2 linked regions of the Canis lupus familiaris genome follow. The protein of the gene in region 1 purifies or fractionates together with the protein of each later gene. This does not show direct contact. Links are inferred from orthologs where the notes say so. Each region holds a gene or a part of one and is shown on either strand. Other genes may lie near its edges.

The links.
Region 2: the proteins of tumor necrosis factor receptor superfamily member 10D-like (region 1) and CFLAR purify together in Homo sapiens (affinity purification with western blotting; 5 studies listed by BioGRID and IntAct, with this or other methods). This does not show direct contact. The link is inferred for Canis lupus familiaris from reciprocal best matches to the Homo sapiens genes TNFRSF10A and CFLAR.

What each region holds. Positions count from the first base shown.
Region 1 is NC_049239.1:47,460,865-47,476,253, forward strand, and holds the end of tumor necrosis factor receptor superfamily member 10D-like, read right to left. Parts: intron 14,579-15,389; coding exon 14,450-14,578; intron 12,015-14,449; coding exon 11,903-12,014; intron 10,755-11,902; coding exon 10,675-10,754; intron 8,444-10,674; coding exon 8,321-8,443; intron 7,950-8,320; coding exon of another isoform or gene 7,911-7,949; intron 7,849-7,910; coding exon 7,784-7,848; intron 6,554-7,783; coding exon 6,296-6,553; intron 5,344-6,295; coding exon of another isoform or gene 5,266-5,343; exon of another isoform or gene 5,244-5,265; intron 4,781-5,243; coding exon 4,738-4,780; intron 4,579-4,737; exon of another isoform or gene 4,006-4,578; intron 3,645-4,005; coding exon 3,340-3,644; 3' UTR 2,888-3,339; downstream 1-2,887. Other genes in the region: CARS1 (cysteine--tRNA ligase, cytoplasmic), read right to left, coding at 1,224-1,248. UniProt on the Homo sapiens protein: Receptor for the cytotoxic ligand TNFSF10/TRAIL. The adapter molecule FADD recruits caspase-8 to the activated receptor.
Region 2 is NC_049258.1:10,117,547-10,133,734, forward strand, and holds the start of CFLAR (CASP8 and FADD-like apoptosis regulator), read left to right. Parts: upstream 1-9,307; 5' UTR 9,308-9,527; intron 9,528-11,834; 5' UTR 11,835-12,013; exon of another isoform or gene 12,014-12,069; intron 12,070-12,211; exon of another isoform or gene 12,212-12,275; intron 12,276-12,295; exon of another isoform or gene 12,296-12,538; intron 12,539-16,055; exon of another isoform or gene 16,056-16,188. UniProt on the Homo sapiens protein: Apoptosis regulator protein which may function as a crucial link between cell survival and cell death pathways in mammalian cells. Acts as an inhibitor of TNFRSF6 mediated apoptosis.

The sequences.
Region 1 (15,389 bases):
GAACTCTAGCTCCATTTTTCCAATGTAAAGTTTGCTACAGACTTAGGAATCCTGGTGACAACCTCTGGTCCTGCCAGCAGCAACAGCCCTGCTTGCAGGATAGTGGGAAAAGATCCAGTGCTCTTCCCAGGTCTGCCTGTAGACTCCCTGGTCCAGCTCCTGGTGGCATCAGAGCCTCAGGTGGGCAGAGCTGCTCCCCGGGCCTCCCTGGCAGCAGTAAAGTGGGGTAATAATGCTCTGACCAGCCAAAGCCCAATGCCAACGTCTGCAGAACCCCAGATGAAAGCCTCCGTAAAATCCCAAGCCTTTCATGTGCGTGTCTGCGTCCCCCCAGCTTCTTGTGCTCACCCCCAGCTTGCTGCCAGGCTAGAAGCAAACTGCAACAATCCCGGGGCTCTGCCTGTCTCAGAGTACAGCGAGGTCCCGCCAGGAAACGCGGGGTGGGGCTCTGGAGGACCCCAGCAAAGCCTGAGGAGGAGGCTGAGGAGGGGGTGGCCGAGGGGCCTCCGGGAGCCCAGCGGGGCTCGGGCAGCGCAGGCCCAGGCTAAGGGTCCCAGGGTGGCTCACCGCCCACCGGCTCACCCCAGGACCCGCTGCACCCCCGGGCACGGGGTCTCCCTGCCTGCCAGCTCGGGGACCCGCCGATCCCCCATGCCCGGGGTGGCCCTGCCTGCTCGCTCGGGGACCCGCCGACCCCCCGGGCCCCGGGTCGCCCTGTCTGCTCGCTCGGGGACCGCCGACCCCCCCGGCCCCGGGTGGCCCTGCCTGCTGGCCCCGGAGACCGCCGACCCCCCCGGCCCCGGGTGGCCCTGCCTGCCAGCCCCGGGGACCGCCGACCCCCCCAGGCCCGGGGTGGCCCTGCCTGCTGGCCCCGGAGACCGCCGACCCCCCCGGCCCCGGGTGGCCCTGCCTGCCGGCTCGGGGACCCGCCGACCCCCCCGGCCCCGGGTGGCCCTGCCTGCTCGCTCGGGGACCCGCCGATCCCCCCGGCCCCGGGGTCGCCCTGCCTGCCGGGTCGGGGACCCGCCGATCCCCCCGGCCCCGGGTGGCCCTGCCTGCCAGCCCCGGGGACCCGCCGACCCCCCCGGCCCCGGGTGGCCCTGCCTGCCGGCTCGGGGACCCGCCGACCCCCCCGGCCCCGGGGTCGCCCTGCCTGCCGGGTCGGGGACCCGCCGACCCCCCGGGCACGGAGTGACCCCGCCTGCCCCGCCGCGCGCACTCACCCTGCTCCCCAGAGGAACCTGACATCTTAGAAATTCCAAACCAGCGGCCCCTATGCCAGCTTCCCAGAATCTGATGCAACCACCGCCCCGGAAGTCCCGCCCAGCACCCGCCCCACCTTCCGGGATACGCCCGGTCGCCAGGCAACCACCGCGGACTCCCGACGCCCGGGCTCCGGGCATGCTGGGAGTTGTAGTTGTTACTGCGCCACGCGCGGCGTCATGGAGCATCCTCGAGGCCACAGGGTCCGTGTCCCGACCTAAGATGGGGGGGGTGGGGCAGCGCGGAGGCGCGGGACTCGCTGGAGGTGTGGGGGTGTTGGGAGGATGTTGTAGTCCTCCCTGGGACACAGGCATTAAAGACAGAATCCACGCGTGCCTGTTTAAGTTAGCATTGCACCAAGGGACATAGGGACAAGCCCAAGCCCAAGCCCAAGCCCCAGCCCCAGCCCCAGCCCCAGGCTGGCGGTCGAAAAGGGATGGAGGACTACTTGGAAAGAAACTTAGAAGATGGGATTTGGGGACACCTGAATGGCTCAGCGTTTGAGTGCCTTCAGCTCAGGTCGTGATCCCGGGGTCCTGAGATGGAGTCTCGAGTCCAGCTGCCCACAGGGAGCCTGCTTCTCCCTCTGCCTGTGTCTCTGCCTCTGTGTCTCTTATGAATAAATAAATACAATCTTAAAAAGATGGGATTGGAATGGATGGGAAGTGCATTCCTGTCACAGTACCATCCAGCAGATAACCTAGCAGAAAGCAAACCATGGAGAACTTCACTGTTAGTGCAGAATGCCCTGGAGCAGCCCTGGCAGGAGACGGGGACTTGAGGGACAGGCCAGGGCTTGACCTTTTTGGAGCATCTTGTAAACAGAGTGAAGAATGGTATGGACCCACTGAAAGTTGACAGGATGAGGCATGACTGGATTTGTGCTTTAGAACTCACACATTGCCGAGGCCTGGAGATCCAGGGAGAACAGGACTGGAAGCCTTTACAGTCTACAGGGCAGCGAAATGACGGCCTGGATTAGTTGGGTGAGTGCCCGGTCCTGGGAGAGCCCCACAAAGCAGCAAGCCCTGGGTGAGGCCTGGGAGACAAGGGAGTTGGTAGCGAACCACCTCTGGGTTAGCAGAGTGATTGTAACATTTACTTTCACTGGAAGTCAAAGGCTTGGTACTGAATGGAAATAAGCAGGCTAATCTGTGAACACATCCAGGAACTGATGTTTGGGGTGAGGAGGGCAGAGCAGAGCTCACATTCTGAGGCATGAGTATTTCTGGACATAGAGACCCCTGGGGAACACAAACCAAAAGAGGCTTCTGCAGCTTTGGACCCCCATGCCAGAGCCCTCCCACTGGCAAATTAAATCCTGGGGGTCCATGTCTTCCTCTGTGCACGATACCCCCTGCCAGGGATAGCACACCCAAAGTTGTGTACACACCGGAAAGAAGAGGAAACATTATTTAAGATAAAAATTTTATTAAAAATAAATAACAAAAGTGCTTGACTGGCTCCATTGGTTAAGCATGTGGCTTTTGATTTGAATGTAGTGGAGCCCGCCATCAGGCTGGGCAGCTTGCTTAAACTTTCTCCTCCCCTTTCCCTCCCCCTCTGCCCTCCACTCCTGCACAGTATCAAAATAAATACAAAAAAAAAACCACAAACACAGGAAAACACAACAGAAAAACTTATACTTACTAAACTAATGCTAACTTTACAATAAAATTAAATGCTTCGCTTATTGTGGTCAGTGACTGAAAGCAGTCACTAAGGTGTGATTGAGGAATACTGCATTTCATTTATATCCTGTGCATTTCATTCACATCCTGGACATAAAAGACTTCAGCACAAGCAGCTACATTGTTTTAAATAGAAAAACAATTTCCCTTGGGGAAAGTTCCCTGAGGAATGTTAATCTAGTGAGGACCTGCTCACCCCTGGTTACACCTTGGCCACGGGTGATTCCCACAACTAATCTTGGCAGGAAGCACTCTCACTAAAATGTAGTGAGACACTGTTAATGGACGCACATGATTCTTTCTAACTGAAAACTGAGAAGTTTCCAAAAGGTAGACATTGGCATAGGTCAGATCCTGTGTGAAGGCATAATCCCATGCCAAAAGTTTAATCTGAGGTCTCTGCATGCCTGCCTAAGATGCCTTCAACAAGTAGTACGTTGATAATATTTTCCAAACACATATGCAGCTGCATTTTATGTAGGGCAGCCAACAGTTTAAAAACTGAGGCTTCCCTTCCCAGCTTGTTCCTCCACCTGAGGAGCATCTTATGATGCTGCTCCGTCAAATTGTCTGGGTTTTCGTGCTCGCAAGTTTCAATGTCCTTTTCTTCAAGACCGATAAGTCTCATCAGAGATTTCCAGTTCTTGTCCAGGATCATTTCTTCAAATTCATAATAGAGCCTGGTGGTACCTGAAAGAAATAAGAACAAAAAAAAACCACTTTACATTTCTGGGAGGACTGTGTGGCACCTCTTGTCACTACTCCCCAGGGGTGCAATCACAGGTGTCTCCTCCTGTCCCCTGGGGACTGGGCGACAGCTAGCACACCATACCCAGGAGGTAGAAGGTCCTGTGCGACCCCCTACCAATGTCACAGATTGGGTACGAGGCCAGGATACTGAGGTGGGGCCACAGCTCTTGCCCTGCTTATTGCTCATCACTGGAGCTTGGGAGAAGGAGCCAAGGATCCGGGACAGTTGGGGGCTGCACGGGGATCCACAGTCTGCTGCAGTTCACTTGCCCTGCTTCTCTCTCTTAACATCTCTTGATAGAGGCTGTAGGCTGCTCAAGACTGAGAAGGCCTGGTGTCGGCTGGGGACCACGGTTAGGATCTGAGACCTGGCACAAGTTTTGCAACCTATCAGTTTCAGACTGTCGTGTTTTTAAGCCTGGACAATGGGGCGGTCTTGTAGAGCTGCCTGTGAAGATGAACTATACAAAAAGCACCTGGCATGTGGTAGGTCTCAATCTTTGATGACCACCAAGAAGGGCCTATTCATCAAGGGTACAAGCATTCCTACCACCATTCATTCCTCCTTAAAAGACATGAACATATGATAAAATCAAAGCGGTATCTAATTTCTATGAACCCCCCCCCAAAACTCATGTTTGACAAGTGCTGTTTCCCCTAACGTCATTCTTGAGTGTGAAAAAGCGCATCTCAGGTTGGCACACGGTCCTTGGAAACAAGGACACCAGGCCTTGACACATAGGCCAAGCAAGATGAAGGCTTAACAGTTGCTATAAATGAGGAATTCAGGGGCACTTGGGTGGTTCTGTCAGTGAAGTGTTTGCCTTTGGCTCAAGTCATGATCTCAGGGTCCTGGGATTAAGTCCCACATTGACCTCCCTGCTCAGTAGAGTCTGCTTCTGCTTCTCCCCACTCCCTCTCCCTTCCCCCTGCTCATGCCCCACCCCCGCATTCTCTTTCAAATAAATAAAATCTTTTTTTTTCTTTCAAATAAATAAAATCTTAAAAAAAAAAAGGAATTCAGAATATGTACCTTCATTTGATGTATCTTTTACAAAATATCTCTTTGCATATTCCTGTGGAGGGAAAAAAATAAAATTGTTCCAGGAGAAGGAGGCTGAAACAGAACCACAATCTGGTTTGAGGAAGGAGCAGGGTGGGGGCAGGTGGGCCTCTATGGATATGTGATGTCCTTCGAGGAATCCACCATGGGGGCAGAGAGCTCACCGGCCACTTATGTCCTATGGGTCACTGTCCCCCAGGACATGCCCTGGGCCCAGAGGCAGCTCAGTGGTCCCTGCCTGGGCAGGTGGGGAACAGCTCTACTTTGTCACCTGGGGGTGACCTGCTCTGCTCCAGGGAATGCTAACAGAGAGCACACTTGTCCATAGAAATGCATAGTGAGATGCTAGGAGACTCAGATGCAGTCTCCCAGTGGAGGCCCACACCAGCTGCACCCAGCTGCCCATGAGCCGCAGCTCCAAAGCCCACTTCTCCTATGGGGGAGGTCAGGTTCCCCATCGGTGTCAGGCTACCTACTGTGGACATGAAAGCCAGGCCTTCAGACCCCAGCTCTGCCTCGCACCCAGTGCTGTTGGCCCCAGAAAACGACTCCCTGCTCTGTGCACTGGCTGCTTGGCTGTAAAACAGGGTAAGAAGGGAGGTGTCCTCATGGCACAGCCTGAGAGGGAGCCCCCTGCCTCCTGACACTCAGAGCTGGCAGGGCTCCCAGCTTCTGTACTGATTCCTCTCAGAGCCTCGGGGAGTCTGAAGACACTCAGGGGCTGTCTCCCTCAAATGATGCCTAAGAGCACCCAACCCAGGAATGCAGTTTCCACAGTGCAGTCTGCAACCTCTGCACCCATGCCAGGGGGCCCCAGGGTCCACGGCATCTGGCACAGAAGCCCTGGGACCTCTTCCCTGGGACTCACCTGTGCCCTGCCTGTAGGATTCAGAAGCCAGACCGCATCATTCCCTAAACATGGGCTCTGTCCTCCTCCTCCTGAAGAGCCCTACTCCCCAGAGCCACTTAGCGGGTGTTGGTGTGCCAACCCAAGACATGCACGCGCTCAGAGGCTGTGGCGTCATGCACCTGTGGGCTCCTGTGGGTGGAACTGCATCCCCCTGGACACTAGACTCCAAACCTGTGTATGTGACTGCAGCCAGGAACAGGGTTACGGCGGATAGGAAAGTTATGACAAGGTCATGGGGGGCCCACTCCAACAGTGACTGGTATCCTCACAAATAGGGGAAATTAAGACATAGACTTGCACATAGGGAGATGCCACGTGAGGATGGAGGCAGAGGGTGGGGTGACGCTTCCCCAAGGAGCCCCAAAGACTCCAGAGGCCTGGCACAGATGGGCCCTCTCAGCCTCGGGCAGATGCAGCCCTGATGACACGCCATCCCTGGGCTTCCAGCCTCCAGGACACGGAGACAAGGAACACCTGTTGTTTAAGCTGTCCCAGGAAACTCACACAGGAATTGTGCAAAAGCATGCATGGCACCAGTTAACACCGAGCTCTGCACACACTGAGTGCTCCATGAGCACAGGCTGTCATTACTCAGACCCCCTTGGCTGGCTCACGTACCTGTTCCAGACTCTTAAGGGAGGGGAACACTTCATTCTGGTTCTGTGACACAGAGACAGCCAGAGCAGGAGTCTGTACCACCTGCTCTGGAGCTGGGGGGCTCTCTCTGACCACCACATCCTGCAGCTCGATGCCCTCCTCGGTCTCCTCCAAAGGCCTTGGGTGGGGGCTTTCCTCAAGCCCCTCCTTCAGCAACAATGTTTCTATGTCCAGGGCTGGCTGGTGATTTTCGGGGTTCGAAGGGAACAGTATCTCAACCTGCAGAGGGCAAAGACAAAGTTATTTTGGTCACAGCAGCCTGCTGCACATATTCCGAGGGGAGGAGGATGCCAACTGTCTGATGGGTAAGCAGGAAATGTAGATTTTTTAAAAAGATTTTATTTATTCATGAGAGAGAGGCAGAGACACAGGCAAAGGGAGAAGCAGGCTCCCTGCAGGGAGCCCGAAACAGAATTCGATCCCAGGACCCCAGGATCACGACCTGAGCCAAAGGCAAACCCTCAACCACTGAGCCACCCAGGCATCCCTATGCAATTTTAGAGAATATTTCATGGGGTGAAATCCTTGCTCTGCCAGCAACTCCTAGTGGGGGGCATCCCAAGACCCCCCAACTCAAGCCTTTGGTGGGTTGAAGGGGGGGCCCCCAAAGATACAGGCAGATCTTGTTTTACTGCACTTCTTGGGCAATAGTCTTCACAGTACTGAACCCCCAGGCACCCCCCAGCACTAAAGCATCTTTTAAGTAGGGTATGCACACTGTTTTCTGAGACACTGAGCTATTGCACACTTGATAGACTATACTATGGTGTAAACATAACTTTCATACACTCCAGGGAAATGAAAAATTCATCTAACTGGCTTTATTGCGCTGTGTGCTCTACAGGCAGTGGTCTGGGAGCACCCCAGTGTTGTGTCTACATGTGCACATCCTAACCTCTGGTACCCCAAAACGGACCCGACTACAGGAATTCACACTGGATTAATGCAAACCCTAAAGCTGGTGGTCAGTGTCCTCCTGAGAGACAGACTCTGTCTGAGATGCATAGACTCGTGATGAGAACCAGAGATGGGGTGATGCCTCTGCCGAAGAACCAGGGTTACCAGCCCTGACTGCAGAGGCAGGAAGGAACCCCCCACAATAGCCTCTGAAGGAGCCAGCCCCATGCATTCCCGATGCCAGAGTCCAGCCTGTAGGTATGGAGACAAGAGGCTCTATTGCTTCATGCTTCCCAGTGTGTGATGACCTGTTACAGCAGCCCCAGGGCATCACGCAGAGCCTTCTGCCCCTCTCTGCCTTATTTTCCATTCTGGCCTAGACCTGCAGAATTTAAGTCTTCTTCCAGCACATTCTGGGGCTCTAACAAGGCAGGTGCAGATGAGGCTGGGAAGGCAGGGGCTCCCGCGCTCCCGCCCCCGGGATGTCTGCTGGGACTCTGCACCCACCAAGGCCCGGAGCTATCATCAAGCAAACTGCAGAGCAATACTTACAGTGCTGCTTTGTTCGTCCACCCTTCCTGAAGACCAAGAAGAGAAGAAATTAACAAAAAGGGCACCTGTGAGGACAAGGACTTCCATGAGGGAAAGAATTGCTCTGAATTCACGACAAAGTACTTGCCTTTCAACAAGCTGATGAGCCTCTGGTAGAGCCACATACCTGCGGAAAGCATGGGAGGTGAGCTTCCTCGGGGCACTCTGCCAGCACCGGGGGCCCCTGCCTCCACCCAGGCACCCCCATGCGGACACAGCACTGGTCTCTCCCCACCTCTTGGCCCACAGCACCTCGGACATGGCATCTGTAGCCAACCGACCTGACCTGGGCTTAAGACCTGTGTGCCAGAAGCAGGTGGCAGGCAGCCCCCAGTGCGTGAGTTCCGAGCTCAGGCACAAGAGTAAGAAAATAAACACAGCTGTGTTCTAAATGTAAAAGACCCCATCGGGGTCTCCTAACACCGGCTCTCCACTTCTGACCTCCCGATGCGGTTGCTGAGCTGGCTTTTCCAGGACTGACCTGATGTGAATTTATACCTTTCTTTTTATAGCAGTAAACGAGGAGGAAGATGAGGGCGACGACGACGACGATGACGATGATGGTGATGGTGATGACGACCAGCACAAACATTTGGAGGGACCCACCTTCGGGTTTCTTTTCTGGAAGGAGATGTAGCAGAGAATGGTAGAGTAGGGTCAAGCATACTTTCCTTGCTCAAGTGACGTGCTACAGCCAAGTTCCCGCTCCCAGGAGGGCCTGCAGCACTGCAGTCTCTCCAGGCCCCAAGCCCTCTCCCGCTGATCATCGTCTTGAACGTCCCAACTGGGAGGCAGAAAAGGCTCATGCTTCCTGGGTCACAGATGAAGACCCCAAGCTCAGAGGATGTGGGATCCTGCTCAGGTGGCTGGAGGCGGGAGGAGAGAGGTCGGCATCGCCAGGAGTGCAGCAAGAGGTCCTGGTATCCCAGGACAGAGCTCCGGCGTGAGGGGTCACAGCCACCTCCAGCAGGAGGCAGAGGACGGCCAGTCCTGACTGAAGCCATTTTTTGACTCAAAGATTTTCTTTGTGCTCAGGTTAGATCTTTCCTAATCTGTTCTTTTTTTGGGTGTTAAAATATCCTTTAAAAGTGCAAGTCACACGCATCAAATTTTTTTGGTGGAAATCACCAAGCCAATTCTGCAAGGTAAATGGACACACCAACGTCCAAGAGCAGCCTGACAATATGGAGGAAGAGCTGGGGGACCCGGTGCCTTGGACGTCGAGGCCCGCTGTAAAGGTGGGCTTGGCCCGAGATTGCACAGAAGGAAAGCCTCCCGCTCATAGGGATGCTCGCTTTACAACCACCTGACACTGCCTACAGGTGAAAGGGGATGTCTGCAAAATACTACATGGGCTCATTTGTATGTACGTCTGGAAAGACACACTGAACCTGGACCTCCTACCCCATGCCACGCAGAAAACGAAGGCCAGGGCAGCCCCGGTGGTGCAGCGGTTTAGCGCCGCCTGCAGCCCAGGGCGTGATCCTAGAGACCCTGGATCAAGTCCCACATCAGGCTCTCTGTATGAGGCCTGCTTCTCCCTCTGCCTGTGTCTCTGCCTCTTTCTCTCTCTCTCTCTCTCTCCCTGTCTCTCATGAATAAATAAATAAAATCTTAAATAAATAATAAATAAATAAAAAGATTAAAAAAAAAAAGAAAACGAAGGCCAGGTTCACTGTAGAACAAAATCAGAAAGGTAAAAAAACCACTAACTGTCTAGAGGGGAGCCCAGGTTTCTCACACGGGACACAAGCGCTCCAGCTGTACAGAAGCCAGTAAATGATAAATGAAGGGCGAGAACCAGGAGATCCCCCGGCGTGAGTAAGGCACCCCGCCGAGGAGGGGATACTCCCAACACAAAGGGACTTTAGCCTAATTTTGTCAGTAATTACCAACCTTTATAAATACAGCTCACCCCTGAACAACTGAGTTTTGAACTGTGAGGATAACTTAGGTGCGGATTTTTTTCAATAGATATGGTACGGTACTGTACACATTATTTTCTCTTCCTTACAAATCCCTGGATCCCGTTTTCTCTCTAGTTCAAGTTGTTGGAAAAATACAGTACATAGGATACGTGTAACGTACAAAACAGGAGAGAATCAACTCTCCGTGTCACCACTACGGGTTCTGGTTAACTGTAGGTGATTAGTAGTTCATATTTGGGGGGGAGGGGGCAGAATCAAACATTGTACATGGATTTTCAACTGCGTGGGGAATCGGCACCCTTCACCCCATGTTGTTCAGGGGTCAGTTTTAACTATCAAAACTAAGAAAAAACCCTGCCTATGATCCTATATCAAAGCAGGCATGAGTCTTGCACAGACACTCAGCCCAAGTATCTGTACAAGATCAAAGGCTTCGGGCATCACTTGTGCCTGCCTCAAATCCTCATGTCCCTCTACAGACGAGGAGCCCCTTGAAGGCAGGGACCTGGTGCATGGCTTTAGGGATCACATGAAAGGAGAGATGGGAAGGGGTGCTACTAGGCAGGAGAAAATTGCAGGCCTCACGGAAGCCAGCCATGCCACTCCCCACCTGCTCCGTGGGGCACTGGACACGAGGCAGGACATGCCAGCCCACACAGCCGTAGCTCATCACCATGGTATCAGTTTGTTTACTCAAAGAGGTCTGTGAACCATGGCCCGTGGGCCAAATCCAGCCCATTGCCTATTCCTACAAGTCAAGTTTTAATGGTACCCAAACATATCTGTTTATTTACTCTGTCTTCTTTTGCTATGGCAGCAGAATTGAGGAGTGACAACAGACCGTATGGCCTGCAAAGCCTAACCTGTTTCCTTTACGTGAACAGTTTGCTGACTTGGAGTTAAGAGATGACATCAAATTCTTACCTGATGTGTCTGTAGTATCCTGTGTGTTGCAAACTGTATCCCTTGTGGCATTGCACGGCGAGCTGACATGGTCAGGACAACTGAAAAAGTGAAGAAACCTGGAGTATTATTTCTCCCTGCCAGGGTACAGCCCAAAACATCCTTCTCACCACCCACAGGCCAGGGGTTAGAGGAGCCTCAGTTCCCAGGATGGCCCACTAGCTTTCAGGAAATCACTGCCTGGCATCTCCCCAGCTGTCTGGTCCAAATTGGTCATTGAAGAGTAAAGCTCTGTCCCACCCTTTGTGGTGTATTGGGGGAGGGGGAGCCTCCCTGTTTCTGCATAGAGCTGAATGTGACTGTGAGCACTGGCCCTGCTGTAACTGTAGAAGTTAGTGCAAAGGTGAAATGGAAAATGGGACATGCAAGAGAATCCATAGAAACCAGAACCGTAATCAAACCAGACCTGAAAGCAGTCCTTACTATAGACTTGCCAGATACAAGAAGGTACAGTTCAACAGTGTGAATCATATTAGTTTACAACGTGCCTCACAAACAAGAGCTATTTTCTCAGGTGGCTTTGCCACTATCACTGTCCCCATTAAGGTCCTCCCAAAATCCGTGCCCACTCAGAACCTCAGAAAATGATCTCATTTGGAAACAGGGTCTTTGCAGACCTGATCACATTACAATGAGGTCACACCAGACTGCTCGATGACTGGCATCCTTACAGGAGGGAAATTTGTGTTGGGACAGACAGAAGGCCATGTGAAGAGACAGACACACAAACATGAGAAGAGGACCTCGAAAAGACAGAAGCAGACTGCAGGTAAGCCAAGGAGCACCAGGAGTGCTGGCAACATCAGAGGCCAGAAGAAGCAAGGCAGGGTCCTTCCCTAGAGCCTGCAGAGGGAGCACGGCCCCGACTGGTTTCAGACTTCTGGTCTCCAGAACTGTGAGAGAATACACTTCTGTTGGTTTTCTCAAAACTACCCAGTTGTGGCGCTGTTACAGCACCACAGGACATTCACAGTGACGATGGTCATTCTGCTCTGCCACACGGCGCCGTCCAAGACAGCTCTTCCCCCGGGAATCCTCTATTGCTCCCTCCTACCCCCGCTGGGCCCCTCTATGCCCTTGCCCCTCCCAGACACTGCTGCCTGTGTCTGGATGGTCTCCACCACTACTGGGGGCTTAGAGTCTGCAGAACTGTGGGTACGGGAGGGGCCCACGCCCACGTCTCCAGGACCTTTGACACCGGAAGCAGTTCTCCACGCAGTTTTCAGAGTCACAAAAGTAGCCGGGCTTGCACTGGCACTGCTGGTCACGGGTCGCTGTGCATGGAGAGACTACCTCCTGGTCTATTGAAAGGGCAAGGCTGAGGGTCAGTGCGAGGCCAGGGCCGTCCCCTCCCACACAGGCTACGCCCAGCACCTTGGTGGAAGGCATGAACCCTGTCCCGGCGAGGGCCACCTGCTCAGAAACCACCCATACCTCTCCATTTGCCGCGGGCCCCACCAAGGACAGCGCACTGCTGCCCCAGGTGCTGTGTGCATAAAACCTCAGAGGGAGGGCAGCCTGAATGGTTCATGGTTTAGTGCCACCTTCAGCCCAGGGCCTGATCCTGGAGACCTAGGATCGAGTCCCACATCAGGTTCCCAGTATGGAGCCTGCTTCTCCCTCTGCCTGTGTCTCTGCCTCTCTCTCTCTCTCTGTATCTCTCATAAATAAATAAATAAAATCTTTAAAAATAAATAAATAAAACCTCAGAGAGCAAGGATGGCAGACAGGGGACCCCTGCCTCCTGCCATGCTGACATCAACCCCACAGGGGGAAGAGGGGGCCCTTCCGCCGTCCTCAGGTTGAAGAGGACTTCTGCTTCTCTGCTCTCCCCGACGAATGTTTGACACCTGCACTGCAACTCCATCAGCCTACTGGACGGTGACAGCACGTCTGTCTACTCCAGCGTTTTTTACGTGTCTGCTGGTCACCTATGTCTCACCTTTGCCACATCTGTCTCTCCACTTGAGTGTTTTTTCAAGCCTCCTTCCTAATTTGTTTGTTCTGGATGTGATTCTGCATGGCTTATAACATAAATACATTCTCCCACTTTGCAGCCTAACTTTCTAAAAGCGTGGGTATCTTGCAATAATAGAAGTTGGTCATTTGAACGCAGTCACTTTCACCGACCTCATTCTTAAGGTTTGTGACTTTTAGGACTCCCATAAAATGTTTTTCCACTGCCTCGAAGTCATACTCTGTATTTTCTTTCTTTTTCTTTCTTTCTTTTTGTTTTTTTAAAGATTTATTTATTCATGAGAGATACAGAGAGGGAGGCAGAGACACAGGCTGAGGGCAAAGCAGGCTCCTTGTGGGGAGCCCAATGCGGGACTCGATCTCAGGACCTTCAGGATCATGCTCAACCACTGAGTCACCCAGGTGCCCCCATACTCTATATTTGCTTCTTAAAGGCTGACTTTTCACATTTGGCCTATGCTTCAGGAGTTGACTTGTGTGGGCAGCGGAAGCCTCCTGTCCTGCATTAGAGCCTGCTCTGTGTGGACAGCCAGCAACCTGGGCCAGCAAAACTTGAGATGCCACCCTTCCTCCTAGGGGTGGTAGGGGGCCCAGTCACCGTGCCACATACCACCTTCCACATCGATGGGGCTGTCGACTCTTCCACTGGCCTTACGTGAGTATCACACGCGGTCTCACTGCTTCTTTTTTTTTTTTTTGGTCTCACTGCTTCTTTGCACTAAGCCTTAACACATGGAGAGCCAGTATGCTCTTTCCATTTCTCCTGAGTGTTTCGGTAACTGTCAACTCATTAGATTTCATGAAAATATCTGTTAAGATTTTTTTTTTTTTTTAAATAAGAATTGTGGGGGCACCTGGCTAGCTCAGTCAGTTAAGCGTTCAACTGCTGGTATCAGCTCAGGTCATGATCTTGAAGTCATGGGATGGAGCCCAGCATGGACTTTGCTCAGCGCAGAGTCGGCTTCAGTTTCTCTCTCCCTCACCCTCTCCCTCCCACTCTTGCTCTCTCTCTCTCAAATAAATAATACCTTAAAAAATAATAATAATATATAAAAATTCTGTATTTAAAATATACAGCATGATTGAATTATTTTCATTGGGATTCTTCCTGGGAATGCAGAGTCTAAGATCCATATAATGGAGAACTGATTTCTTTAAAACATGGAGTCTTCTTACTTATTATGTAGATTCATGTGTAGATTTCTTTAAATGTTGTTTGTTCACATTAACATTTTATACATCCTTTGCTAAATTTATCTCAAAGAATCCTATTTTTTGCTAATGCAAATAGTATCTTTTAAAAAAAATTACATTTTTTAAAACACTTGGGGGATGCCTGGGTGGCTCAGTGGCTTAGTGTCTGCCTTCGGCTCAGGTCCTGATCCTGGGATCCGGGATCGAGTCCCACATTGGACTTCCTGCATGGAGCCTGCTTCTCCCTCTGCCTATGTCTCTGCCTCTCTCTCTCTCTCTCTGTGTGTGTCACTCATGAATAAATAAGATAAAATCTTTAAAAATAAATAAATAAGAATAAAAAATACAACACTTTGCTGCTAACATATATAGATAAATCTTTGCATATTATTCCTGCATATAGTGTTCCTAAAAATCCTGATTCTGTGTAGACTGACTAAATACATGGCAGCTCTATCATTGCGCTCATCTGTAATAATTCCTTGGGGCAATGCTGACAAGCTGAGTCGAAGCGGGCTATGTTTTAAGAAACAAATCCCACTGTGCCTGGCTGTAGTCCACTTACCCTCTCGGCACCGACTGCACAGCCGACAATTTGTCTCCCCATTTCGGTAGGGAAGGTAGCTTCCAGGTTCACACGGGCTACATACCCCAGCACCATGGTTTTTATCACAGTGTTTGCTGACATAATGGCCTGTGAAGGGGGGGTACATAGAGGTGAGGTGGGGGCCCAGAGCAAACCCAACCCGACCCAGCCCGAGGCCTCCACTTGGGGACCAGCCCTCAGCAATCATTTCCTTGGAGCATTCTAGTCTGACAACTTGGCCACATGTGTCTCAGGAACCCAGGGACTTGATGCCCCTCGGCTTTCAGGGACATCTTGCAGGACACACAAGCAGATGGTTTTCAGCATACACCCTGGAACCCACCTAAGAACCTGACAGTGTCTGTGTGTCTACCCCCAGCCCTCCAGAGTGGGCTGGACAGCTTCTGGTGGAGTTACAGGGGACACTGGAGGTCTAGAGACACAGGTCTTTGACCAGGCTCAGAGGAGCTCTCAGTTCTAGGACCTGTCTCGTGCAAAGGCTGTAGCGGAGTCAAATCACACCTTGCTGGGAGGAAGTTGTCACAAACTGCAATTTGTAGAGTCTGAATTACAAAGTTTCCAGTTGAAACAACTGTCTAATTCACCTCCCCATGAGCTGTGCCTGTGGGGGGCGGGGTGCCATGTGCACAAAGATGAGGACACACAGATGTGCAGTATACAGACAGAGGTGTTAGGAGCGTACAGGGTGAGTAGCCCAGGTAGGATATCTGGTCCCTGAAACAGGTGTCCTGTGCCGGCAGAGCGTGGGCGTGGAACATACAGGTGGTGATGGGTGGGTACAGGTGTGTGGTTGACCCCTGAAGCTCTCACTGTAGTGCGTGCACATCTGTCTGCATGTGTAGATGAAGTGACACAGAATGGGAGGGGGGTGCAGCCCCCACCTGCTTTGTGGAGCTCA
Region 2 (16,188 bases), on another chromosome or scaffold:
GGCTTCCAGCTCAGGCATTGTGGTTTTCCAGACACCCCTTACCCTCCATCCATATACACACACATCTTGCTTCTCAGTATGACCATATGTTTGGTATTTACCAATGGAATGTGAGTGAAAAATGAGATGTATGATTTCTATTTTGTATGACAAGGATTTTAAGGCGCAGGTATGCCTTCTCTTTCTTTCTTTCTTTTTTTTTTTAAGATTTTATTTACTTATTCATGAGAGACACACAGAGAGAGGCAGAGACACAGGCAGAGGGAGAAGCAGGTTCCCCGCAGGGAGCCTGATGTGGAACTCCATCCCAGGACACCGGGGACCATGACCTGAGCTGAAGGCCGATGCTCAACCACTGAGCCACCCCGGTGCCCCACAGGTATGCCTTCTTCACACTCTTTCCCCTTCTGCTGACTGACTGTTGAAGATAACAAATACCTGGGGAATGATGAAGCCAAAATATGAAAGGAGTCTCAGTCTCTGAAATTACTGCATGGCAGGAAACTGCCTGCCAAAAATACTTGCATTGTTTAGAAAGGTGATGAAATAAATTTCCATTGTACTAAACCACCACTATTTGGAGGCTACTTTGTTAGAGCAGTGAGTGTTACCTAGCTTAAATAGGGACCCACTCTATGCCAAGCATTGTGCTAAGTGCTGGATGTACAATGGGAAGCAAAGGAGCCATGGTCCCTGGTTCATGAATCTTAAAAGTTAGTCATGAAGGATAAAAATAAACAGGAAAAAAAATCAAATATAAATAGTTACATCCTGCAAAGCACCTCCCTGATTCCTGTCTTCTCAGTGGAATATATCTTGCTTTTTTATATATATATATATCTTGCTTTTTAACAAACAAACTTCAGAGAACATATTTTCCTCTTGGTACACTGTTTTTTGACTAATATTTGTATAGGAAATATTTATATTTATATCCTTGCCCAAACTCAATACAACAATTTTAAAACAAAATGTGTATGAAATATCTTGCATTGCATTCCAAATACAATTGATAGAATATCAGAATCATATATAGATATTTTTTCAAATTTTAATTTTCAAGCATTTCAAGTCTGAAAACCTGAAAAGTTTAAAGAATACACATACACTTTTTTTAAAAAAGATTTTATTTGTTTTTTTGACAGAGAGAGAGAGAGAGCAGCAGAGGGAGAGGGAGAAGCAAGCTCCTACTGAACAGCGAGCCCAACATGGGACTCAATCCCAGGATCCTGGGATCATGACCTGAGCCAAAGGCAGATACTTACCTGGTGGAGCCACCAAGTGCCCCATATATATTTTCTTCATCTAGAGTCACCAATTGGTAACAATAAGTCATATTTGTTATACTCTTTCTCTACAGGCAGACACACACACACACACACACACACTTTGGTGAACCACTTGAAAGTAACTTGCAGGCATGATGATACTTTATCCCTAAATTCTTTAGTATTTTTTAAAAAAGATTTTATTTATTTGAGAGAGAGAGAGAGAGTATAAACTGGGGGGGGGGGTGGAGGGAGGAGAGGGAGAAGCAGACTCTCGGCTGAAAAGGGAGCCTGATGTGGGGCTCGGTCCCAGGACCCTAGAATCACGATCTGAACCGAAGGCAGATGGTTAATGGACTGAGCCACCCAGGCGCCCCTAAATTCTGCAGTATTTATCTCCTGTGAACTAGAACAATTTTCTACATGATCATAATGCCACTATCACATCTAAGAAATTTGTGCTAAAATCCCTCCATTTGTCTATAGCTGATTTTTACTAACTTATTTATTATCACTTTATCTCCAAAATAGTACTTCTCCTACCCCTCAGTAGTTATAAGTCTTCTCCAAAACTGAACCAATCCTAGCTTGATCAATAAAATTCTGCGCAATTTCAAACAAAATCCTAGCAAATTACTTTATGGATATTGACAGGCTGATTCTAAAATTCATCTGGGGAGACAAAAGACCCAGAATAGCCAACATAGTACTGAAGGAGAACAAATTTGGGGGACTGTTGTTATCTGACTTCAAGACTTACTATAAAGCCACAGCAATCAATACAGTGTAGTATTGGCAGTAGATAAGTGGAACAGAATAGAGAGCCCAGAAATAGACCTCCGTGAATATAGTTAACTGATTGTTGACAAAGGAGCAAAGATAATGCAATAGAGCAAAGGTAGTCTTTTCAACAAATTATGTTGGGATAATTGGATCATGTACATGCAAAAAAATTGAATCTAGACCCAGGTCTTACACTCCTCACAAAAATTAACTCAAGATGGATCATAGACTTAAATGCAAAATCCAAATTATAAAAATCCTAGAAGATAACACTAGAGAAAACCTAAATGACCCTGGGTTTGGCAATCACTTTTTAAATACAAAACCAAAGGGACAATTTATGAAATAAATAAATGATAAGATGAACTTCACTAAAATGAAATATTTTTGCTCTGTGAAAGATAATATCAAGAGAATGAGAAGAAAAGTCACAGACTGGGAGAAAATATTAGCAATAGATAGACACATTGGATAAGGGACTGTTATTCAAAATATAAAAAATAAATCTTAAAACTCAAAAAGAAAACAATCTCATTTAAAAATGGGCCAAAGACCTTCCTGGACATCTTACCAAAGATGACATTCAGATGGCAGATAAGTATATAAAAAGATGCTCCACAGCATATGTCATCAGGGAAATAGAAATGAAAACAATAATGAAAAAAAAAAAGAAAAAAGAAAACAATAATGAGATACCACTACACTTCTCTTAGAATGGCCCAAATCTGGAACATTTGACACCAAATGTTGGCAAGGATGTGGAGCAAGAAACACTCACATACAATGCTGCTGGGAATGCAAGATACCAGCACGTTGAAAGGTTAGTGCTTTCTTATAAAATTAAACATACTCTTGCCATACAATCCAGAAATCCTGCTTCTTGGTATTTACTCAAAGGAGTTGAAATTTGATATCCATACAAAACCTGCACATTGATGACTGTAACAGCTTTATTCATAATTGCCAAAACTTGGAAGCAACAACATGTTCTTCAGTAGATGAATGGATAAATAAACTGCGGTACACCCAGGCAATGGGATATTATTCAGTGCTAAAAAGAAATGAGCTATCAAGTCATGAAAAGATATTCAGGGACTTTAAATGCATATTACTAAGTGAAGGTAGCCAATCTGAAAAGGCTACATATTGTGTGTCCCTACTATGTAACATTCTATAAAAGGCAAAACTAAAAAAAAAAAAAAAAAAAAAAAGGCAAAACTATGGAGACAGTAGATCAGTGGTAGCACTATCTCCATAGGAAGTGGGAGGGGGGCCATTCTATTCTCAACATAGCTACCTCTAGTTACAACAGTCAACAAGCCTGATAGCCTGGGCTCTAGACTACTTTAGACTCCCTGCTTTTGAACTGAAGCTCTGCCAATTATTAAAACTCTGGTTACTTAATTATTACACCACTCTAAGCTTCAGTTTTTCGAATTAGTAAAATGAGGACAATGGTTCCTACAGAGAATTACATGAATTGATGGGTATATTAATATGCATATTAATGAGCATATTAATATACCCATGATAAAATCATAGCTATCATATGTCTATTCTCAAATGGTAGCTCTCCTTGTCAAAGTATCTTTGTAGGCCCCAGGGGAGATATGTGCATGATGGTCTCTCCACTGGAGTCTGCCCTGAGCCATGGGGGGTTAGCCCTATTTTTAACTTCAGTGTTAGGCACTGAAGCAGTGCGTACTCTTCGATGTCTGACTTCTTGCACTTAGAATAATATTTTCTTTTCTAACATTTTATTATAAAATGCTCAGTCAAAAGAAAAGGAAAACCAGAGTGTCTGAACATTTACTTTCTGTTAAGAAAGGGCTCCTCACTGTGGGGCAACAGCATGGAAATAGGTCAACGCAAGTAAGGAACAGCCCCAGTATGACCCTGAAATGCCACATCTGTACCTTGGCTTGGCCTCCATCTGCGTCAGCATCTCCCCCCAGGCCTGGGACATCACTGAACCAGCTGGTGGCCTTGGGCTCTGATGATTTCTCTTTCCCTTGACCTTGATTATCTCTCTCCCTGTACTCAACATATCCCTCTAGTGCTTCATGATGCAGATAACAGATAGGACTCCAACAGACCTAGGAGAAATCAGATAGACATGGAAATGAGAGAAACACAGTAGAGGAATGTGTGATCCCTGAGACAAAAGACAATTAGATCCTGGTTGACAAAAAGAAGAGGGTCAAGGACAGAGCCAATATTTAAGGAACAAACAAAGGAAAGGAAGTCTATCTATAGAGAGACTGACAAGGAATGACCAGAAAGGCGGGAGGTTTTCTGGAGAGGGTTGGCTCCTTTTAGGAAGAAACCGTTTCAGTAAGTGGGGAGGGGAGCAGATCAATGTGTCCAACCAAGATGAGGTATGCCTCTCAGATTAGGAAATCTCATTGGTCTTTTTCCACTCCACTTGGGGAGTTCTGGAAGCCAGGCCTTTCTTTCCTTTGTAGGTGGGAGATTAAGAGTCATCTCTGCTAAATCTGAACAATTTAAAGGAAAACTTTGAACGTACTGACAATGGAGGTTCCCCAAGGAAATAGCTCAACCAGATACTCCACTGAGATGTTCAAAAGAGATTAGACCCATTTGGAAGCTCAGAGCTTCCAATCCACTTTTGTTTGCCTATTTGTTTTAAAATCAACTTTTTCAATGTGTAGTTTGCATAAATAAATGCACTCGTTTAAAGTGTATGGTTCAGTGATTTTTGACAAATATATACTCTCATGTAACTGCTATCTAATCAGTGTGCAGAATATTTCCATAACCTCAAATTTTTTCTTATGCCCCTTTACAATCAACACTTTCCTCTCAGGCAAATACTGATTTCCTTTCTGTCATTATAGATTTATTTTGTCTTCTAGAATGTTGTATAAATAAACCACACAGTACTTTGTGTACAGTAAAATAAACCATATTTGTACTTTTTGTGTGTCTGGATTCTTTCACTCAGCACAGTGTTTTCTTCCCAAACCTTTTGTTATAGAAATGTTCAATCATAGAGCAAAACTGAAAAAAATTTTACAGTAAACACCCATATATCTACCACAAGATTATACTACAGTTGACCCTTGAACAACATGGGGGTTAGGGGTGCCAATCACAGCCAAAAATCCACATACAACACTTTTTAAAAAAAATATTTCATTTTTTAAAAGTAATCTCTACATCTGACCTGGGGCTCATACCCACAGCCCTGAGATCAAGAGTCACAGTTTCCCCCAGCTTAGCCAGCCAGGTGCCCCCATGTATAACTTTTGATATTGTAGTATTACTATTTTTTTCATTCAAAGTTTGTTTGGTATTTTTGTTGGTATGATACTTAGATAATTGGTTGCATTGACTTCTTACATTATATGGTGATGTGCACTATTTCTGACATGTATAGTACACAAAACAAGATCCTTTAGAACAGTTATGCACAATACATGCAATATTGAATTTATACATGGGATCCCAGGATGTGACTGACTGTAGAAAAAAAAGATGGACTAGGCATGTTGAATGTTGGGTGAAAGAATCAGAAGTTATAGAACACCAGTAAATACACATCTTCATGTTCCCCAAGGACCCACCCATGATCGCTTAATGGGTGAACTCCCAGCCTTTCCCTCCAGTACAAACCAGGCTGAATGCAGTTTGCAACCACTTCCAATAACACGGTTTGGGGGGAAGCCACTTATCTTCCAACCTACATAGGTCAAGATATCCTTTGGCTTGGAAACAACAAGCAACTTACAGTTTGGGTTGTATTTTACAATATTAGGAATTATGATCTTAAAGATGTTCACATGATACTGGACCAGAGTAAGATGGCTTTCTCCCTCTTGCTGACATGCCCCAGCTGTGATAATAACCAGCTTGGTGTTTGCAGTCACATTATAGTCTTTGCCAGAGAAAATTTTTGGTGTTCTAAGGAAAAGGCTGCCATGCTGGAGATCCATCATCTCTCCCTTTAATTTGTCTTCCATGACATTAACAAGAGCAAGTTCATCTGCCAAGTCCTTCATTAAGACACTGATGGCACAAGCCATGCCAACAGCACCAACCCCAACAACTGCAATTTTATTCTGGGGGGTTGGGTCTTCCTTAAGAAGATTCTGAATCCTTGAGAGTTGTCATAGTGTACTCAGAACCAAAAGGATTCAGGAGGGCTCATTGGTTGGTGTTGGTGGTGTGCAGGGTTGAGTCTTGAGTCTGGACTTGGAGGCAGCAGCTCTCCCAAGGTATTCCTATGTTTAATTTTTGAGGAACCAGCATGCCTTAGGGCAGTGGTGGCTGCTGGTCCCCGAGGCTACAAAACATTAGCCTGGAGGAGCCCTCCACCATGTCCCACCTTGAACAACTACCTGATAGGTAGATGAGCATGCAAACAAAAACCTGATTGGGTGACAGGCAAGGGTTAATCAAATTTAAACAATCCACACGAAAGACCCCATAAAACCCCCCTAAATTTAAATGCCAGATTAGCAACCCTCTTGGGTTCCACCCTCTTCAGGAGCTTTGTACTCTCAACAAACTTTGCTTTACTATCACTCAATAAACTTTGCTTTGCTTCCCACTACTCTTTGTCTGGTTTACCTCATCATTCTTCAAAGCAGGCAAGACCAAGATCTGCAGGCACTGAAGGAAAAGAAATCCTGCAACAGAACTACCACTTCCTAGGCTCGGGAGGATGATTAGAACTCTAGTATTCTCAGCACTCCAGCCCCAGGTAGATCCTCTGTTCCATGAGTGGGCTGGATGGAAAAAGGATCCTCCACTTCTCAACCACACTTATTCAGGACTTAGCCTTAGTATCAGGTAGTAGCTAGGCGCTTGGTGAGAATTGTTGACATCCTGCTCCTCCCACTGGGATTGTGGGGAGAAGAGGCTCTGTATTCTTGATTGCAGCAGATGGATCTCTGGTGAGTTAGGAGTTTGAAGTGGTCTTGATTGAAATACCACAGATTCTCACTCACATTTCTTATCAAATTTTCATAGATTTTCTTGAATATATGTTTTTTTTCATTTGCTGTTTTCTCATAGGACTATTTCCAAGGCTTTCAATGATTGTTTGTTGTTGGCTTGTTTTAAAATGATTTTCATCAGGAGCACCTGGGTAATTCAGTTGGTTGAGGGTAGGACTCTTGATTTCAGTTCAGATCATGATCTCAGTCAGGGTTGTGAGACTGAGCCCCACATTGGGCTCCAGGCTGAGCGTAGAACCTGCTTGGAACTCTCTTTCCCTCTCCCTCTGCCTCCCACCCCCACTCCATGCACGTGCAAGCTCTCTTCCTAAAAAATAAATAAATAATTTTCATCAGTTTCACTAGGGAGTGGGTCACCTGAGTTCCTCTAGTTGTCATGCCAGTAGTTAATCTCTTGGCATTATTCTTGTAACTTTCCTATAAGCTTAAATTGATTTCAAGAAAAGTTAAGAAATAAAAAAAATCACAAAGTGGTTATTAGGAATAAATAGATTAAAATATAAAGTGCTTTCACATTTGTTATTTAATATTATTCCCATGCATTGATCACAAACACTAGCAGCACTTGCTTGCTCCTATGACAACCAGAACTACTTTAGACAAACACCCTAGGTTCGTAGCAGATTCAGTTACTGAGGAAGAGGACGATTTTACTTTACTATTCAAGTTTCTTTTGTCTGGTCTAAGAATTAAATTGACATATGACAGGAGAACATAAAATTTAATTGTGTACCTAGCAGGCAATCAGGCGAGTGAGGCTTACATGCTATCCAGAGAGGAGAGGGGATCAGAGGTGTGGGACTTCAAAGGGAAGGAAGAGAGTTCAGAGGAACAAAAGAGTAAATGGTAAACAAATGTTTGCTGGGCGGCACAGAAACAATTGGACATAGAGAGGAATTTTAACAAACAGACTTTGCTAAGTTCTTCCCGGTCTAAAACACCTAGTTCATATTATGCTGTAGTTGACTATGGTGATCTCTCCTTTCCCAGGGCAGGTCCTCCATCTATGTTCAGAGATTATATATATAATATATATCATATAATATGTAATCAGTTCTTGCAGCTGTGTTTTGGGAAGTGATTAAGCAATATTTTTCAAACCTGATGATTCTTGGGTATTTAGCTATTGTCCTCCAAAGAGTCATTGTTTCATGTTTTCAAAGATGTACTTTGTGCTGAAGGTTCATGTCAGTTATCCTGTGCTTCCAACACTCACCAATGTTTTTTACCTGATTGATCCGCCAAGGATTGTAGTTTGCTTTAACTTCAGAGTATTTTTATCTTCAATTTTATTTAATTTTGTTTCATTTTGTTTTCATAAGACAGTGTTTCAGCTATGTAATTGGGGCAAACCACTATAGGTTTATGTTGGATAGAAAAGTGAAATGTTACTAATGAGTTGAAATAACCGACTTTTGGTTGCCTATCACTACTGTTGATACATATATTAGAATGTATGTCTCAGAAGATGGTTTCTGTTTAAATTTTTTTTAAATTTTTATCTATTTATGATATCACACACACAGAGAGAGAGAGGCAGAGGGAGAAGCAGGCTCCATGCACCGGGAGCCCGACGTGGGATTCGATCCCGGATCTCCAGGATTGCGTCCTGGGCCAAAGGCAGGCGCCAAACCACTGCGCCACCCAGGGATCCCGGTTTCTGTTTAAATTTATGGTCAAGTTACAACTGAATTCTAACATGGATTAAAAGCTCCACATTAAAAAACATATATATATATATATATATATATCTTGTCCTGTATATATGTATATGTCTTGTTCTTCTATATATATGTATGTATCTTTTTGATATATATATATATCTTGTCTTTCTATATATATATATGTCTTGTTCTTCTATATATCTATGTTCAGATATATATAGATAGATATATAGAAGGACAAGATATATATAAATCTTAACATATATAGGACAAGTTCTTTATATATATATAAAATACAATCAGTTATATAATATATATATTCAGATATAATCAATATATAATCATATATATATTTATATATATAATCAGTCAAATATATACTATCTATACACAGTTATAGGGAGGGTCAAAGTTCCTTCCAGAGTCTTGTTTCTCAAAAATAATCCCCTAAAGTAATCCACGTGCCACAGAGACCCATTTGCGGCCACAGTCTGCTCCCCTACACAGTGGAGGGGATTAACAGCTGGTTGGCTGTGGCACAGGAGTGCTTTAATTCACAGGGGCTCACTGGGGGCTGGTGAGTGGGGGGCTAAGGGGGTGTCTGGGCCCGACCCAGGGAGCGTCGGTCACCAAACCTCCCCAGCATGAACGCCGAGAGACGCCTCGAGGGAGAAAGGCCAATGGAGGCGGGCCAGCAGGGAGGCGACACGTCCGTTTGCGGGCTCAAGCTTTCGGTTTCCTTTTCTCCATCTTGCTCGGGATTTTGGGGCGTCATCGCCAGCGAAGTCGATAGGGCGCAGCTCGAGAAGAGTCCCGCGGTAAGCAGGCTGGTACGTGCCCAGGGCTTGCTCCCCCGGCTCGCGACTCCCCCCGGGCGCGGGCCCACCCAGCCAGCCGGGGAGGGCCTCGGGGGCCACCCCTCCCGCCCCTCCCGCCCCTCGCCGCTGCTGCTGCACTAGCTCCTTCCGGAGCTGACCTGGGGCGGGGGCCGCCAGGCCTCGGTTAGGGGAGCCGACGGGCTCCTGGCGGACGATCCCCGGGTTAGGGTCCTCCCTTGGCTTCCTCCGCCCGGGCCCGCGGGCCCTGCTCGGCCGCCGGGGGCACCCGCCAGGTCACGGTTAGGGGAGCAGACGGCCTCCTGGCGGACGATCCCTCGGTTAGGGTCCTCCTGCCGGCTCCCTCCCGCGGGCGCCCGCCCGACCTGCTCGGCCGCGGGGCCCCCACCCGGGGCTGCCGCCGCCCCCGCCGCCCCCGCCGCCCCCGCCGCTGCCAGGCGCGCCCGGGCCCGCGTAACCCTTGCCCCACATCGAAGCTCCAGAGGACGAGCTTACTCCAGGGGACGAGTAAACGTTGCTTAAAATCCTCTTTGTGCAGGTGGCTCAATTCTTGGGGTAAACTGTTCCAAAGATTTGGCAATTAACTTTCGAAAAGCTGATGATGAGCCTTTTTCCCCCCTCCGTGATTACGTGTCTCTGCAGAAGCAGCCCGCCCGGCAGGAATTTTTACTTTATCGCAACAGTCTGGTGAAGTAGGTCAAGGGTTGCCTTTCACAACAGGGGACCAACAGATCTTGAGAAATTGCAAGGAAACTTCTTTTGCTAAAGTTTGGAATGACTGGGCAAGGTGTTTGTAAAGCCGTCCCATGGACTTGCGCCCCGCGCCCCGCCTTGCCCCTCCTTCAAAAGGACTGGGAAGGAGACACACACATAGGCGGAGGGAGAAGCAGGCCCCTGGCAGGGAGCTGGGTGGGACTCGATCCCGGATTCTGGAATCATGCCCTGAGCCCAAGGTCTCAACCTGGTCTCAACCGCCCAGCCACCCAGGCTCCCCAGAGCTGGGAAATGTTGATTTCAAGATGTACCTGCTTGATAGTGTCCGGATTTGGGCAGAAGGACAAGTTCTTTTTAAACATTACAGGGGGGAAAAAGGAAAAACATTACAGGGGAAAGCAATAGAACAAAGGCCACGGAAGAGTGTTTTGGCCCTAGGGAACAGGAAATGAGTAGGGCGCGGGTTAGTAAAAGGCCCTAAAACCCCGAATTATTTTCATTTGTTGTTGACATTTGAAATTTACTTACACGATGAGACGGTAATGACAACAAAGAGATGGAATATGTCACCGACAAACCCGGATAATCTAAAACTAAGACTGGGCTCTGGTGGGCTTGGCCTAGTTTAGGTAAGATATTTCAGAGAAGTGGAACAGAATTTTTGGTATTTTTCCCTCCATGGTTCCCCCTAAGTAATCTTACAAAAAAAAAAAAAAAAAGTTTCATTGGGAGAAAATTTGGCTGAACTCCAAAACTACAAAGAAGGCAAAAGAAAAGACTCGGGTTTGGAAGGGGATCTTGAATGTCACACGGAAATTTTTACTTTTCACGTATTTTTTTTAAAGGTTTTCTTTATTTATTCGTTAGAATACACACACACACACACACACACACACACACACAGAGAGAGAGAGAGAGAGAGAGAGAGAGAGAGAGAGAGAGAGAGAGGCAGAGACACAGGCAGAGGGAGAAGCAGGCTCCAAGCAGGGAGCCTGTCGTGGGCCATGATCCGGGTCTCCAGGATCAGGCCCTGGGCCGAAGGCGGCGCTAAACCAGGCTGCCCTCACTTTTCATGTTAACGTTTGTTTTGCTTTCAGCTTTTGAGATGCGTATCCTGATTAAAATGGCTTTTTCTTACGACTTCACGTTTTCTATTTCTGTTTGTAACTGACATTTGCACTTCGCTTTAACACTATATTCCTTACTAGCTTGCACCCATTTTCGACGGTGAAGCCGCCTGCAGGTCTGCAGGAGTGGGGTGCACCTTGCACCCCGCGATTGGGGGAGTGGGTGGGAGTATAGTCTCGGGCAGGGTTTTTGTGTGTTGTTTTTTTTTTTGGTGGTTTTTTTTTTTTTTTTTTCCGGCAGTAGCAGGGGCTTAGTGGAAGCTCGAAACCAAAATAGCTTTGGTCCTGGGGCACTTGAGTCACACAGCCCCGCTCCCTGCCAGGACATGGGGGCACAGCCGCAGCACCCACTCATTCTCCGCCAACAGCACGTAATTTCCCCCGAGTTCCACGTGGCGCTTTGCTTAGACAAAGAAGAGTTTCGGGACTGCCCCACGTACGCTTGCGGAGTGTTTTTTAGGTGCGGGGGCGGAGAGTTCTCGAACCGTGTCTCCTGTGGGCTGCCTGGAAGAGGCGCGCAGAGACTTAGCTGGATGCGGCCGTCGGGAGCCCGCTGGAGGGTGCACCTGCCGAGCGGGGCGACGCGGACGCCCAGTCTCTGGAATACCCGCAAGGCCTGCTTCCCGGAGCTGCGAGTCGGTCAGCGGCGGGTCTCACCCCCGCCCGAGGTCGGGCGGGAGCCGGGCTGCCCGGGCGTGAGTAGACTAAGAATCCCGTCCGCCCCTCCTCTCTCGACCTGCGCGTCGTGCTGGAGTCGCCTGGGCTCCGGGGGTGGAAGGACACTGTCCCCGACCCCCACCCCCACCCCCCACCCCCCGGAAAAGGATTGAACCGCTTTTTTAGCCCTTCTGGCCTGTTCTGGAGCCTTCTGGGGACTCACCTGCGGCAGTCAGATCACCAGGCATGTCACTTTTTTAAAATCTCAGGAATGGATTCCGTTTGGTTCTTTCTTTCTTTTGGGCCCCAAAGGCTAATTAAACTCGTGTTTATGGACTGAACTGCCTCCTCTCCTTTGATTTGATGTAATCCTACCAACATTATTGAGCTCCTATGGGCCAGGCCGAGTTCTGGGCGCTGGGGACCTAGAGATGGATCTGAACTTGGTTCCTTACCCCCCAGGAGCTCACAGAGCGGTTAGGGGAGACCGAGCAGTTACCTACACAGGTAGGTAGCCGTCCCAGGGGCCGCTGACAGCCACGAATGGGGGGAAGACTGTTGGGCCACGTTGGAGAAATAATGACAGATAACAGAGGGCAACGCCTACGTAATTACACTCATTCTTGCTTTCCTTACTATATATCAGTGAGATAACAAACATTATCGTTCTTGCAATGCCCTATTTCTCCTTTATGTTCAGCTCCTGTCACCTCCTCTCAGAAGCTTTCATAACCCACCACCACGTGTCCCCTTTCTCTATACTTTCATACACACGGTGGCTGTCTTTACGCTTACCATATGATTGCACTTAACACTCTGTATTGTAAATACTTTTCTTCAGAAACTTTTCAGTGAAGTTGTATTGTGATTATCTGTGTTTAAGTACCTGCAAAGTGAATAGAGAAAGCCCTCAGGAGCCCATTCCCTAAGATAAGAGAAGGTTGCAGTGTTTAATGTCTTTTTCAGACATTTAATGCACTTACATACAGACTTCTAAGTGTTTTAAAATATTTTTTTTCTTATTTTGTATGATGCTGTGTCTTCAATTGCATATCAGAACTGGTGTTTATTTTTTTCTATTAACATCTATGCTTTTCTCAGATGGAATTTCATTCGCCTCTAGCATCAGTGTTTCTAATGAAAGATTTTTTTCCTAATGACCACTTTCCTTGTTTTTGAGAACATATGTATCCATAATTTCCATTTAATTCATCTGCTTGTTCATATGGCCCCAAAGTTTTTTCTCCCTCAATTCTGGGTTCAGAGAAGTAATTTCTTCTTTGACTCCAAGTACATACAAATGAATGAATATATATGTCTATGTGTGTGTATGTATATATATGTGTGTATATATATATACATATACACAATATGTATATATATTCTTTGCAGATGAAACTGCTTCTTTCTCTGATGATCTCTGCTTTTAGCCACTTTGTCTTTATTTAAATTTTTGTGCAAAACAGGCAAACAGCTTCTTTGTTGTTTTCCTCCTATTGGGGTTATAATCTTTGGTAATTTAGTACTTAGAAGAACTAACCTTCACCCATGTGATACCACATTCATCTATATATTCAAGATGGTTTGTGTCTTCTGCAGTGAACTCTTCAATTGGAGAAATTAACCCACTTTATTTACATTAATATCTATATACTGAAATTTTTTTTAATTTTTATTTATTATTTATGATAGTCACAGAGAGAGAGAGAGAGAGGCAGAGACATAGGCAGAGGGAGAAGCAGGCTCCATGCACCGGGAGCCCGACGTGGGATTCGATCCCGGGTCTCCAGGATCACGCCCTGGGCCAAAGGCAGGCGCCAAACCGCTGTGCCACCCAGGGATCCCTATACTGAAATTTTTCAATGTAATTTTAAAAAATCCTCATAGCTACTTACTCCAAGGTTTAAAATGTTCTTCAGGCTAATGGCTTCCTTCTATTATTTGATTTTATAGGTGGGAACCCAAGCTTCCTTATCTAGCTGTCAAATTCTTGAGCTTTTTCTTTTTTTTTTTTTAAACTTCTTTTGGATCTTCCATTTAGCTTACTATATCTTTTTTGTTTGGTTTTGGTTTTGGATTTTACTTGAAGCTTCCAGAAAGTATAGTTTTAATAATCATTAATTTTGTTCTAAAGAGTAGGGACATGACAAATCTTGTTTGGATACTAACTATGAATAAACCAAATTCCTTGCAAGAATGACCAAAGCTTGATTCAAAGTTGAATAAAATAGGGATCCCTGGGTGGCACAGCGGTTTGGCGCCTGCCTTTGGCCCAGGGTGCGATCCTGGAGACCCGGGATCGAGTCCCACGTCAGGCTCCCGGTGCATGGAGCCTGCTTCTCCCTCTGCTTCTTTTTCTCTCTCTCTTTCTATCATAAATAAATAAAAATTTATTTAAAAAACAAAGTTGAATAATATAAATCAATAATAAGTGAATTCCTTCATTCAGCATTTACTGAGCACCTACATTTACTTAGTCTATCTTTTAGGTGGGTTGTCAACTGGAATGTCAAGGAACCTAGAAAGTGGGAGCAGACAGGAGATCAGAAGCTGGGTACCATTTAATAGATACCAGAGATAGTGATGGGGCTGGAGCAAATGGGGAATTTTTATTTTCTTCTGTACTTTTCTCCATTTTCCAGGTTTTCTTGTAGCACACAAGTAGTACTTTTTGTAATTAGAAAAAAGAATGCTGTGTAAAAAGAATTGCAAGATCTGTATATCTCTGGTATTATAGGTGACTTATGATTTTGAACAGGACTATCTCCTGATGGGCCAACCTTGGAGAATCCATTATATAAACTGAGCAAATATACCTGCTTGGTTGAATTTTTAATTCAAGCTAGTCTTGTATAAATGGGCTTCAGGGCAGAGAAATGTCTGCTAAATATTTTATTTTAGTGGGGCATAATTGATACCTTGGACATAGAGGATTGTTTCTTTTTTTTTAAGATTTTTATTTATTTATTCATGAGAGACACAGAGATTCAGGCAGAGACACAGGCAGAGAGAGAAGCAGGCTTCCCACTGAGCAGGGAACCTGATGCGGGACTCCATGCAAGACTTGATCCCAGCACCCCGAGATCAAGCCCCGAGCGAAAGGCAGATACCAACCGCTGAGCCACCCAGGCACCCCACAGAGGGTTGTTTCTTGAGCCTTAGATTCCTTTGATAAAAACTTAGAGAAGGATTGTATATTTTCCTGATTGTGATTGCATGGTGATAAAGATGACACTAAATGGTTCAGATACCTACAAAGAACTGAGGCTAGGTCACAGCCCTCCTTTGCAGTACTTGGGATTAAGATCTGATCTCTGAACTCAGGCTTTGCTGAAGCATTGAAATTTGGAATCTTGCTCAAACTCAGCTTTGCCTGTTGTTGTTTTGAGGAAATTGAAGCCTCAGAGTAAATTGATGAATGTAGTAAATGCTTCACACTGTCCTATGGCTGTTTCTCAATAACATGAGTGAAAAAGTGATAGCTCATGGACAATTAGTTGTGTCTTATACCATCTCATACAAGGTATTAGTAATTTTGGTGATGTCCTATTGAGGAAAAAATTCTTTAAATTTAGGCACTTTTGAGGCCATCATAGGAGATTTATACCACACACAGAGGACTGGCCCAGAGGTTTGGCAAAAATGAAAATCCTGAACATAAATCTTGTAGTTTTAGTAATTGTGATAAGTGCAAAGGATAGAATTTTAACTAAAGGAACAGGAGATATACCTTTTGTTAAAAGGCCAGGGGCTGTCCGGTGAGTCTGGCTAGAGACACTGGATTTGGCCTGTTCAAGATGAGGTCCTGCCAGCATGTAGGATGCCCTGCATGGCGGCTCACCAGGATCTTGCAGTCACACTGTAAGCCATTCTGAAACAATTGCATTGTTGTTCCTATATTTACAAAGCTTCCTTTCACAAGCTGTTTCCTGGATCTAACAGCCAGGTTCCAAGCATGATATCTACAGCAACACCAGCTCTGTCTTGCTTCATTGTAGGTTACGAAAGGATGAGTAGGCATCACACATGTGCGGGCTTGCTGGAGCTGTGTAATCATGACCAGTCTGTTCTTGGGGGGGTGAGCTTGACAGGCCTGGCCAGATGCACCACAGCCTAATGAACATGAAGGAGGACCTACCTATCCTCAAGGACTTTAC